Saccharomyces cerevisiae S288C: one gene and its partners. Changing the gene in region 2 together with the main gene of any one other region gives a genetic interaction. Each region holds a gene or a part of one and is shown on either strand. Other genes may lie near its edges. The genes, in order: AZR1, YPL088W and YOL029C.

Region 1 (4,263 bases), on a different chromosome or scaffold from region 2:
CATATTTTTTTCTTTTTTTCTGATCCAAAGTTTTGTAAAACTTTAAAAGAGTTATATAAGCAAGTATTATTATCGTTGGAGGAAGAAAATTTGACCTTCCTTCAACTTTTGATTTTTTATTTTTTTGTTTCCAAGGATTAAAGTGTTCTTTGAGTACTAATCGTTCATCATTTTATTTTATTTTTGGCGCCTTAAAAATGGAACAAGGCAGACGCCGAAAAATACAAAAACAAAAGTCGAAATAAAAAGGGAAACTTCTATTGAAGGTGACATAGAGGCATTGACGCTCTTGCTATATGAACGTCGTTTATCATACCAGTATAAAAATCTAAATTAACTATTTAATAGCTGTACTCATACTGTCTCGGATTACCCTCTTACTGTTATCGTTAGTTGTGGTACACAATTCAGCAAGCTAAACAGCCAATTACTAAAAGTCATGTTTATTTTTTCTGCAGCTTTACACTTTGAGGCTCGCCACCTTCTAAATCGTGCTTAACTTATCTCAGGCTTGCTGTGACTTTCTTATTTGAAGCAAAAACAGCAAAAATGAGAGATAATGCATAAAATCCTAATGCCATGTAAAAGACGTCAGTGAGAGATTCAGAAATTATATTGCCCAATTTGGAATGAGAGCCATCGAAATTGGTCTGCCTATAGATTACCAGATTGTCTACCGTGGTACCATCTGGGAGCTGAATATTAGCCTTGGTTAATTTCTTGATAGCAGCAGCACTGAAAACAGTGTTAGAGATGACACCTCCCAGTGCTTGACCTAGATTTTTGCAAAATGTGTTAAAAGTGGTAATAGAGACAAAATCTGATCGAAAAGTTGGGCTCTTCTTGTCTAACTGAATTTGAGAAGCGAGCATGGAACTTTGTGCCAAACCACCGAAAGCAACGCCAGGTAATATCAAAAGGCCGATGTGAGCAGAGTTATTGGCATTATTGTTCAATAGGGTTAATATACCCGCACCAACAACACCAAAAATGCTTGAAATAACAATAATCGGTTTGATTTGGCGGGTTTTGTCGGTGATAGCACCGCAAAGTATTGCTGTAACGACTGTAGAAATAATGCAAGCAACCAGGTGTACAGCGGCTCTCCAGGCGGAATCATTGTAAATTAATTGGAAGTATTGCACAATATACGTAAACTGACTGATATATCCTGCACAAGTGAGAAACAAGGCTATATTAACCGTGAAAATACCTGGTTTCTTGATATTTGTCCATGACATTAATGGTTGGTAATGTGGTGTTGCTTTCACTATATTAAATTTGGGGAAGACAAGGAAATCATAGATACCTGCTAACACTACCAGGACTATACCGATGATGAAAAGAATAATGATGGATGCAGAGTTCCAAGCATACCGGTTACCGCCAAATGTGAAAGCCAATAGAATACATGTGAATCCAGCTGAACAAAACACAAACTCGATAATATCATACATGAAAATCAATTCCATGAACGGCTTTCTCCACCCATTAAGTTTGCTAAACCCTTTGATTTTCAATAAATGATATGCTACATTCCGAACAATTTCGATAAACTGTGATGGAAATTTGCGGATGTTATCCATTGTCTCTTGAAATGTACTTAAACCTGGGTTATAAAAGAACAGGAATAAGAAAAATGCTAGGCCACCGATCGGTAAATTAACATAGAAGCACCATCTCCATGTGACGCTGGAGGTGAAAACTCCTCCAAGGAAAGGCCCAACAACAGATGCAATAGCAAACGAACAACTCAAAACAGCAATTAGTATGCCTCTCTGCGACTCCTCTACCAGGGTTGAACCAATGACGAACGATAAACTTTGAATACCACAACCGCCGACTCCAGCAATAACTCTACCACCAATGAGCATACTCATTGAATTTGCTAAAGCAGAGATCAGCGACCCGATTTCAAAAATGACAATAGCAAATAGCATGGTCTCCTTGAATCCGATAGGTGTGGCAATTCTTCCCCATATCAACGCCAACAGAGCGTTTGGTAAGCTATACCCGGTAAATAACCACCCGATCTCAGAGTACGATCCAAACTGTTTAGCTACTTCTTCAATGATTGTAGAAACTATCATGATATCCAAGGCTGCCAGAAACAGCGACAAAGCCAATGCTATCAAAGATGCGTACAAGATAAACCCTTTAGGTAGTTCATTACTTTCGCTGGCGTTGTCCTCGAGCACCACGCTCACGTTTTGTTTTGATGTTGACTGCGTAGAATTTCGTCTCACAACATATTGTTTTTGCTGTTTCTCGTTCTGTTGTTGTGCTTTCTCACCGTAGTATGAGAGGTCGCTCATGCTGTAAGTCTTAGGTTCGCCTTTCATTGGGCTGCAATTTAGATACTAATGTAGACGTGGTGTTACTACAATTGTAGAAGAAAAGATACAAGATTTAAAGGACGTTGCAAGAGGGTACGGAAACTCTAGCATTATATATAATCAATTGATACAGTGCCGATTCTTTGATATAAGACATTTTTCTTTAAATTAATGTAGTGGTTCTGCTTGACACTTTTTATTGTATTTCCAGCCATAGCATATAGAAGCGCGGAAATACAGCGGATATCCGCTAGTTGGCGGAAATAATGCAAATTGGTAAGATCCTATGGTAACAGTGCAAGAAAGGGGCCTGAGTTAAAAAGAGAAAATGAGCCTATCCTAATGATGATAGCCAGGTTCATATTAACGTTGTTTACCTTTGTGTTCAAGATCAGGGGCTTTTGGCAGTATCTGAGCGAAATGAAATAAAGAAATTGATAATCACGTGATCACGGCTTTCTGGCTTGTAAAGCCGGTTATATTTATTTACCTTAGTAATACGTACTGCGGGGGCTATTGTTAAAGGGAAGAGAAACCAGAAGATCTGGAAAGGCAGCGATTATTAGAGGACAACTATAAGCATACATAACTAGCAGATGGATGTTCGTCGACCTATAAGGGAGGCAGTCAACAACAGGAGGAAACCAAAATTTTTGAGCGTTTCGTTTAACCAAGATGATTCGTGTTTCAGCGTGGCGTTAGAGAATGGATTTCGTATTTTCAATACAGATCCATTGACTAGTAAGCTATCGAAAACATTTAAAGAGTCTGCGACCAACCAATCCAGGGGCACTGGGATTGGCTATACCAGGATGCTTTATCGTACGAATTACATCGCACTAGTCGGAGGTGGTAAACGACCAAGGCATGCTCTAAATAAACTGATCATCTGGGATGATCTTTTGCAAAAGGAAACGATTACTTTGAAGTTTATGTCTTCCATTAAAGACGTGTTTTTATCTAGGATTCATATTGTGGTAGTCCTGGAGAACACAATAGAGATCTTCCAATTTCAAACCAATCCTCAAAGAATTTGTCCTATTTTGGATATCCCTCCCAATGGATCAGTGGACTATGTCGTTTGTAGCAGCAAACATCTCCAGTCGCAAGCATCGCAGTCACAGTCTAAAATCTTAGAAATCATTGCATTCCCATCGAATAAATGCGTAGGCCAAATTCAAGTAGCCGACCTATCACAAATAAAATATAATTCACAAAACCCGAAGGAATCAGCGCTTTTGCCCACTTCCATCATTAAAGCACATAAAAATCCCATCAAACTGGTTAGACTGAACCGTCAAGGCACCATGGTAGCAACATGTTCCGTCCAGGGTACACTTATAAGAATCTTCAGTACGCATAACGGTACTTTAATCAAAGAATTTAGAAGAGGGGTGGACAAGGCGGATATTTACGAGATGAGTTTCAGCCCCAATGGTAGTAAGTTGGCCGTATTGTCAAATAAGCAAACATTGCATATTTTCCAAATTTTTGAAACAACCAATACAGAAACGAATACACCAGACCACTCTCGTGCCAATGGTTCGAGCCATCCCTTGAAAAATTATATACCGAAGGGCCTATGGAGGCCCAAGTATTTGGACTCTGTGTGGTCGATATGCAATGCTCACTTAAAGAACCCAATCTTTGACGCTCACAGAAATGACAACAGTGGTGATGTAACTCACGATAACGAGTTCTATAAAGACAGATGTAGAATTGGCTGGTGTCAAGACTCTAATAATAGAGAACAAGACGATTCGTTGGTTCTGGTGTGGCAAAATTCTGGGATATGGGAGAAATTTGTTATTTTGGAGAAGGAACAACAAGATTCATCGAAAACGCATTATTCATTGAATGAAAGCTTGAGGAACGAAGATACGAAATCAGCGGGTGAGCCCACCAGATGGGAGTTGGTGAGAGAATC
Region 2 (3,475 bases):
ATACCTTGTTTCTAACTTATTACGCCAAGCGCTATATGTAGAATAGAAGGCGGTCATTAAGAATATACTATTGGTAATAGTATTTGACCATTCTGCAATATAGGGGGATACGACATAATTCTCCTCGCACCAATCAATCAGAGAAGTTGGCTTGCCCCAATAACCTTCAATCGGGGCTTCTGGATAAGGCCAGCTGAACAGCATTTGATTTTTTTCTTTATCTTACTTTCTTAAAAATTCACTAGGTTCTATGATATATCCTTTTGCTTAAATTCTTGAATTGAAAAACGAAGAACAATGCAGATAAACCAGATAGTTATTTCCTTTTTTTTTTTCACTATTAGCAAATATTCAAAGATTGAAGCATGCAATAGAAAGAAAGCAAGCGAAGTAAAATAAGAAAGGCACACCTGTCATTATGGCATTATAAAAAGAAACTGATGGATAAGTTGCTTTCAGGAAATCTGATCCCCTGATTCTGTAGGTTGGCGTACGCTATCGGACATGCTATGCCACTCTCCGGGAACGAGGGATTTAAAAAAGGGACATGAAGTAATATGAGCCGAATGGCTACGATCAGTAAAAATCAGCAGGTGTCATGTTACAGTATATATGATTCTCGTTATTTAGCCTTCTATATATCAGTGGGCCCATGAAAATCTAACTTAACATCTTTGCCTCTGGGGTTTGTAGGGCTCCTCGAGGTACTTTATCTCTTCTTCTGTTAGAGTTACTTGTAGTGCGGCAATCGCTTCGTCTACTCTTGCTGTAGTGTTCAATCCCACAATAGGGTGACATCCTTTATGCAAAACCCATGCAATGGAGAGCATAGCCATCGAGACTTTTTTGTCCTTCGACACCTTTTCCACACGATTTATAATTTCCTTTTGTTCTTCTTCGAGATTATCCAAATGTAACGACTTGAAAGTTGGATCACTCTTAATCCTGTCCGTGCTTTGGTTCAGAGGACGAGTCAACATGCCTCGTGCGTTAGGAGACCATGGAAGTAAACCAATATTGTGTCTTTTGGCAAAAGGAATCAATTCGCGTTCATCTTCACGATAGAGCAAATTGTAGTAAGACTGCGAAGAAATGAACTGAAACCAGCCATATTTATCGGCTGTGAACTGCAGTTCTGCAAATTCAGTTGCCAACATACTCGAAGCCCCAATGTATCTAACGTGGCCCGCTTCAACAACATCATTCAATGCCTTCATGATCTCTTTCATTGGCGTTTCATGATCTAATCTGTGAATTTGTAAAAGGTCTATATATGTGCCCAGTCTTTTCACAGAGTTCTCGACACCAGCAATTATATGCTTTCTGGATAAACCCCGCTGGTTGGACAAGTCCAATTCTTCAAATTCATTTAAAGTGAAGTTATGATGCAAATCAAGCGTTTCATCAACTGGGAAGTAAATTTTGGTCATAATCACCACCGTTTCTCTCTTTATACTGTAGTACTCCAGAAACTCCTTAATTATTCTTTCACTCAAACCATTAGAATAAAAATCTGCTGTGTCAAAAGTACGAAGACCTTTATCGTAACAATGCTTCATAATCTTGAAAATTTGGGTCTTGTCCTCTATGACCCAGTCCGCCCATTTCTTGGACCCGTATGACATACATCCTATCACTATCGGTGATATCTTAAGACCTGAGTTACCGAGTCTTACCTGCTTAACTAAAACCATTTCTGCCGCCTGATGTGGGTCTTCCGTAACAGCCAAATTACATAGTTGGCAAGACAATTAATATATGATACCTTGTTCTCTGGGTCCTAATATATATATATATATATATATATATACGAAAAGGCTGAGAAGAATAAGGCAGATGTTAGCTTAGCTTCTTTTACTCAAGCAATGAAAACAAAATCGAAGGGAAACAAATTCAAACCAAGCGGCCGAGTTATCTCCCGTTCCTAACCTACTACACTAATCACATTTTTCCGTGGAAATAACGTTATTGAAAATGCGTTCTTGCCTGCCATACGTGGGTGAAATACTTCCACGTTCGCAAAAAATACTTCCACGGTGACGAAGTCTGTCTCAGTCGTATATTAAATGCAGAAATCGTCTTATCATTATTGGGCTCTCTTAACGGCGCAGCATCACCGGGTGATGAATGCCAAGCCGCAGAAAGAAAGAAAAAAATTTACTTCAGATTTCTGATAAAAATAAAACGGAAGAGATGAAAGCTAATAATAGAAACAGCTCGATCTTCCTCTGAACAATAATAATTAAAGGACAGACAAAAAGAAACGTAAGAAAGAAGCGAGCCTGTTCTAAAGTGTTCAACGACTGATTCAATTAGAACTGCCTACTCCTGATAGCCAACTCAACTTTTGACTCGTTAAAGTAATTGAAAGCTGGCAAGCAGAATTATTCTTTTTTTTTTTCAAGGTTTCTATCACGTTGTGAGGTTAATATCCCCCGGAGCAAACAGGCTGAAGCGTGAAAAAAACTTAAATATTAAAGTGTCGCAAAACTATACTATAGATACAACATGGGTAGACGGAAGATTGAAATCCAGAGAATTTCTGATGACAGAAATAGGGCTGTCACGTTTATAAAACGTAAAGCTGGCCTTTTTAAGAAGGCCCATGAACTATCCGTTCTTTGTCAAGTAGACATAGCCGTCATTATACTGGGGTCCAATAACACGTTCTATGAGTTTTCCTCTGTGGATACGAATGATTTAATCTATCACTACCAAAATGACAAAAACTTGCTTCACGAAGTGAAAGATCCTTCCGATTATGGAGACTTTCACAAAAGTGCATCCGTTAACATAAATCAAGACCTACTCAGGTCGTCTATGTCAAATAAGCCTTCGAAATCAAATGTTAAAGGAATGAACCAGTCAGAAAATGATGATGATGAGAACAATGATGAGGACGACGATGATCATGGCAATTTTGAGAGGAATTCAAATATGCATTCGAATAAAAAAGCCTCTGATAAAAATATACCGAGTGCACACATGAAGTTGTTATCCCCGACCGCACTCATTTCAAAGATGGATGGTAGTGAGCAAAATAAACGTCATCCTGAGAACGCGCTGCCGCCTTTACAACATTTGAAAAGATTGAAACCGGATCCTTTGCAAATAAGTAGAACTCCGCAACAGCAACAGCAGCAAAATATATCGAGACCATACCATAGTAGCATGTACAATCTTAACCAGCCTTCATCCAGTTCATCTTCTCCTTCCACGATGGATTTTCCAAAATTACCAAGCTTTCAAAACTCTTCCTTTAATGGTCGTCCTCCACCCATTTCCATTTCACCGAACAAGTTCAGTAAGCCATTTACAAATGCATCCTCAAGGACCCCTAAACAGGAGCACAAAATTAACAATAGTGGCAGCAATAATAATGACAACAGCAACTACACTCAGTCACCATCTAATTCTTTGGAAGACTCTATTCAGCAGACTGTCAAAGCAAGAAGGAAATTGTCCGCCAGACCGG
Region 3 (2,879 bases), on a different chromosome or scaffold from region 2:
GACAGATTTTGAAAACTTGAAAAATGAATACAGCAAAGTATCCAACCCAGAAGGCAATGGTGGTTACAGTACTTCCAACAACTATTCTACATGTCCTGATTATGAAAAGGGTGTCTGGGAAGCTAATAACACTTTGCCTGCTATGCCAAGTGCTGCTTCTGCTTACTTCACATCTGGAGCAGGTTCTCCTATGGGAACCGGAATCGCCACCCAACAAAGTTGTGATGCTAAGGACGATGACGACGAAGAAGACGACGACACCTCCTCTTCATCCTCTTCTTCCTCTTCATCTTCATCTTCCGCTTCTTCATCTTCTGAATCATCATCCTCGACTTCAAAGGCATCTTCCTCCTCCCCTTCTGCTAGCGAAACGAGCTTGCTAAAATCTGCCGCATCTGCTACTTCGTCCAGCCAATCGTCCTCGAAATCAAAGGGTGCTGCCGGAATTATTGAGATTCCTTTGATATTCCGTGCTTTGGCAGAACTTTATAACTTGGTTTTATGAGTTTTCACCCCCGTTCTTTACCACATTGTTTCTAATTATTCCGTTAGCGCCGCTTACTTTTAATGTTCTTAAGATAAAAAAACATCATTAATATTATTATTAAAAAATTCATATATATACCTATATCTATATGCACTATTTATGCTTCCACTTTTCTTTTCTTTCTAAATACATCATTCCAAGACGTTTTTGTCCATCTTATGTAATGCATCCTTGATGCTTTGCAATTCTACTTTCTGTCCACGAACGTGCAATCCAGATGCAATGTTCTCTAACGCTGATGAGATCGAAGTTGAATCCTCAGGATTTAGTTGTTCTTGGATACTTTTATTTTTTTGCATATGTTGACGGATTTTTTGATATGTGTAACTGATCGGCAGATACCTCTTTGCATCGGAAGCCGCATTCATTTGTGCATTCTTGCAGGAACATATTTCGGGTAGCTTGATTGAATTGTAATTTACGTCAGTTTGTTGTTCATTTAGATCCGGTGACAACGCACTGTTGGAAGAGAAAGAGCTTGAACTACATTTATTCGAAAGTGATTGACAAAAATTCCTACTATGGGGGTCTGATCTACATTGCTTGCAGCTTCCAGGTATCCATGACCCATCCTCTTTAGTGATCGGTCTATTCTCGCTATCGTAGATTTCTTTGTCTCCACAGCATTTCGATATTGATTTCTTAGCATCGGATTCTATTTTCTTTTCTGAACAGCAAACGGGGACTAAGGATGGCATTATGTTATTCTTTTGGTTGCAACATGTTACTGGTTTCATGGCATCTTTATTCCTACAACATTTTATTTTTTTGTTGCCACTGCCTGCACATGCATTGATACTGCTGCTGCATGAAGACAGAGGTGAATTAATATGGCCATCAAGCGATGAATTCGTTGAACTAAACTGTCTGCCGCTCAGATATTGATAATCGTTGGCTATATCAATCTCAGACAAAGACTGGTCTGTTAATACCGCGGGCACATGAGATGTTAACAATGGGCCTTCAGCTTTCCTTTTTTTAAACTGACAGCGCCGATTGGTTTAAAGTTTTCTACCATTTCTAATATCGAAATAGGATTGTCTGGCGGGTTTTCTGGCTGCTGTTGAAATGGAGTATTAACAATCAAAGGCAAGGCTTTTTGCAATTCGTTGTTTAATGCTATTGATTTTTGCAAGTTTTCCTTTGTATCGGAAAACTCAGATTCCAGCAGTTTATATTTCCTTTGCCAATCATCGACCAAATTGTGTAGCATCTCAACCTTCTCTTCCAGAACCTGGATTCTTGTTGTTCTGCGTTCCCTATATGCTCTTTGCGCATCTCTATTTTGCCTCCTTCGCTTTTCCACGCTATCGACACCGTTTTCATCACCACTTCCGTTGCCTTCATCATCAGATTTCCCCTCATGACCTTTTGCGCCTTCGTTCTCATGATCTTTTGTGGTCATTTGGTCTTTCTGGTTGGAAGTTTGAACCTTCTTTATCTTGGACGATCCATCATTATTAGCTGATGCATCCCCGCGCTTGGATTTCGGTTTGCGGCCCGGTTTTAGGCGCTGTGGTAACTCCCAATTCTTGGATAACTTAATAGCTGACGGTCCTGATGTACTCACATTTCCATCTGGTGAGGATGGAGGTGGAGACGTCGTAGACATGGAACCCTGTTTATGCCCCAATTTGAAGCCTTTGGGCTTTACGCTAACTGCTACTACAGACCTTCGTTGTCTCATGATCCATTGAAAGTGTGCGTAAATGACAAAATTTTGTGCCTTTCTATATTCTTTAATTGATGATTTACTTCCTTGATAACGGCTCAACAAACGAAGAGCAATTTTCAAATTTCAAAAGAAAAAACCGTTGAAACTGTTCTTGAGCAACTTTCAAGCCTCTTATGATGATGTGCTACAGATTGAAGTACAGGTGAAAAGAGGAATAACCAATAGCCTTGTTTGCTTTCTACGGTGGGGCAGCGGATTTTCTCTTTTATGCTTATGCTTCTTCTTCCATATATTACTAATTTTTCTCGAGCGAGCAGCTTTACTGCGTGCATTACCGATGAAAAAAATCGCCGATATATGAAAATCCAGCTCATAAGATGCTGATTAAGGAGTCATGAGTGAAAGGACCCTCGTGGCCATCACAAAAAAGACACTTTGCTCCTGTATAAAAAAAAAAATAAGGCGGTAGTTTAGATAGGGTGTCTATTATATACATGCATAATAATTTAGTTTTGAAGGGTCGCTGGTTTTGCCGTGACGTACGCTTCTCTTTGATCTTTTGCCATTGTTGTCAGAGAAAAGAGAACCGATTGACTTTTTTTTTTTAGTTTTTTTTAGTTTTTTTCTTAGGCTTTGATCTAATATCAATCTTTCTTA

Evidence for each region.
Region 1: mutations in YPL088W (region 2) and AZR1 together harm fitness more than expected from each alone (negative genetic interaction), as found in Saccharomyces cerevisiae (one large-scale study listed by BioGRID).
Region 3: mutations in YPL088W (region 2) and YOL029C together harm fitness more than expected from each alone (negative genetic interaction), as found in Saccharomyces cerevisiae (one large-scale study listed by BioGRID).

What each region holds. Positions count from the first base shown.
Region 1 is NC_001139.9:940,885-945,147, reverse strand, and holds AZR1 (azole transporter), read right to left. Parts: upstream 2,343-4,263; coding exon 501-2,342; downstream 1-500. Other genes in the region: AMA1 (Ama1p), read right to left, coding at 1-3; phosphatidylinositol-3,5-bisphosphate binding protein HSV2, read left to right, coding at 2,933-4,263. UniProt on the Saccharomyces cerevisiae protein: Transporter protein required for adaptation to high stress imposed by low-chain organic acids, in particular by acetic acid, and for resistance to azoles, especially to ketoconazole and fluconazole.
Region 2 is NC_001148.4:380,184-383,658, reverse strand, and holds YPL088W (aldo-keto reductase superfamily protein), read right to left. Parts: upstream 1,695-3,475; coding exon 666-1,694; downstream 1-665. Other genes in the region: YDC1 (alkaline dihydroceramidase), read right to left, coding at 1-204; RLM1 (Rlm1p), read left to right, coding at 2,509-3,475. UniProt on the Saccharomyces cerevisiae protein: Putative aryl-alcohol dehydrogenase.
Region 3 is NC_001147.6:269,137-272,015, forward strand, and holds YOL029C (uncharacterized protein), read right to left. Parts: upstream 1,285-2,879; coding exon 679-1,284; downstream 1-678. Other genes in the region: GAS5 (1,3-beta-glucanosyltransferase), read left to right, coding at 1-505; YAP7 (Yap7p), read right to left, coding at 1,497-2,234; ribosome-binding protein MDM38, read right to left, coding at 2,867-2,879.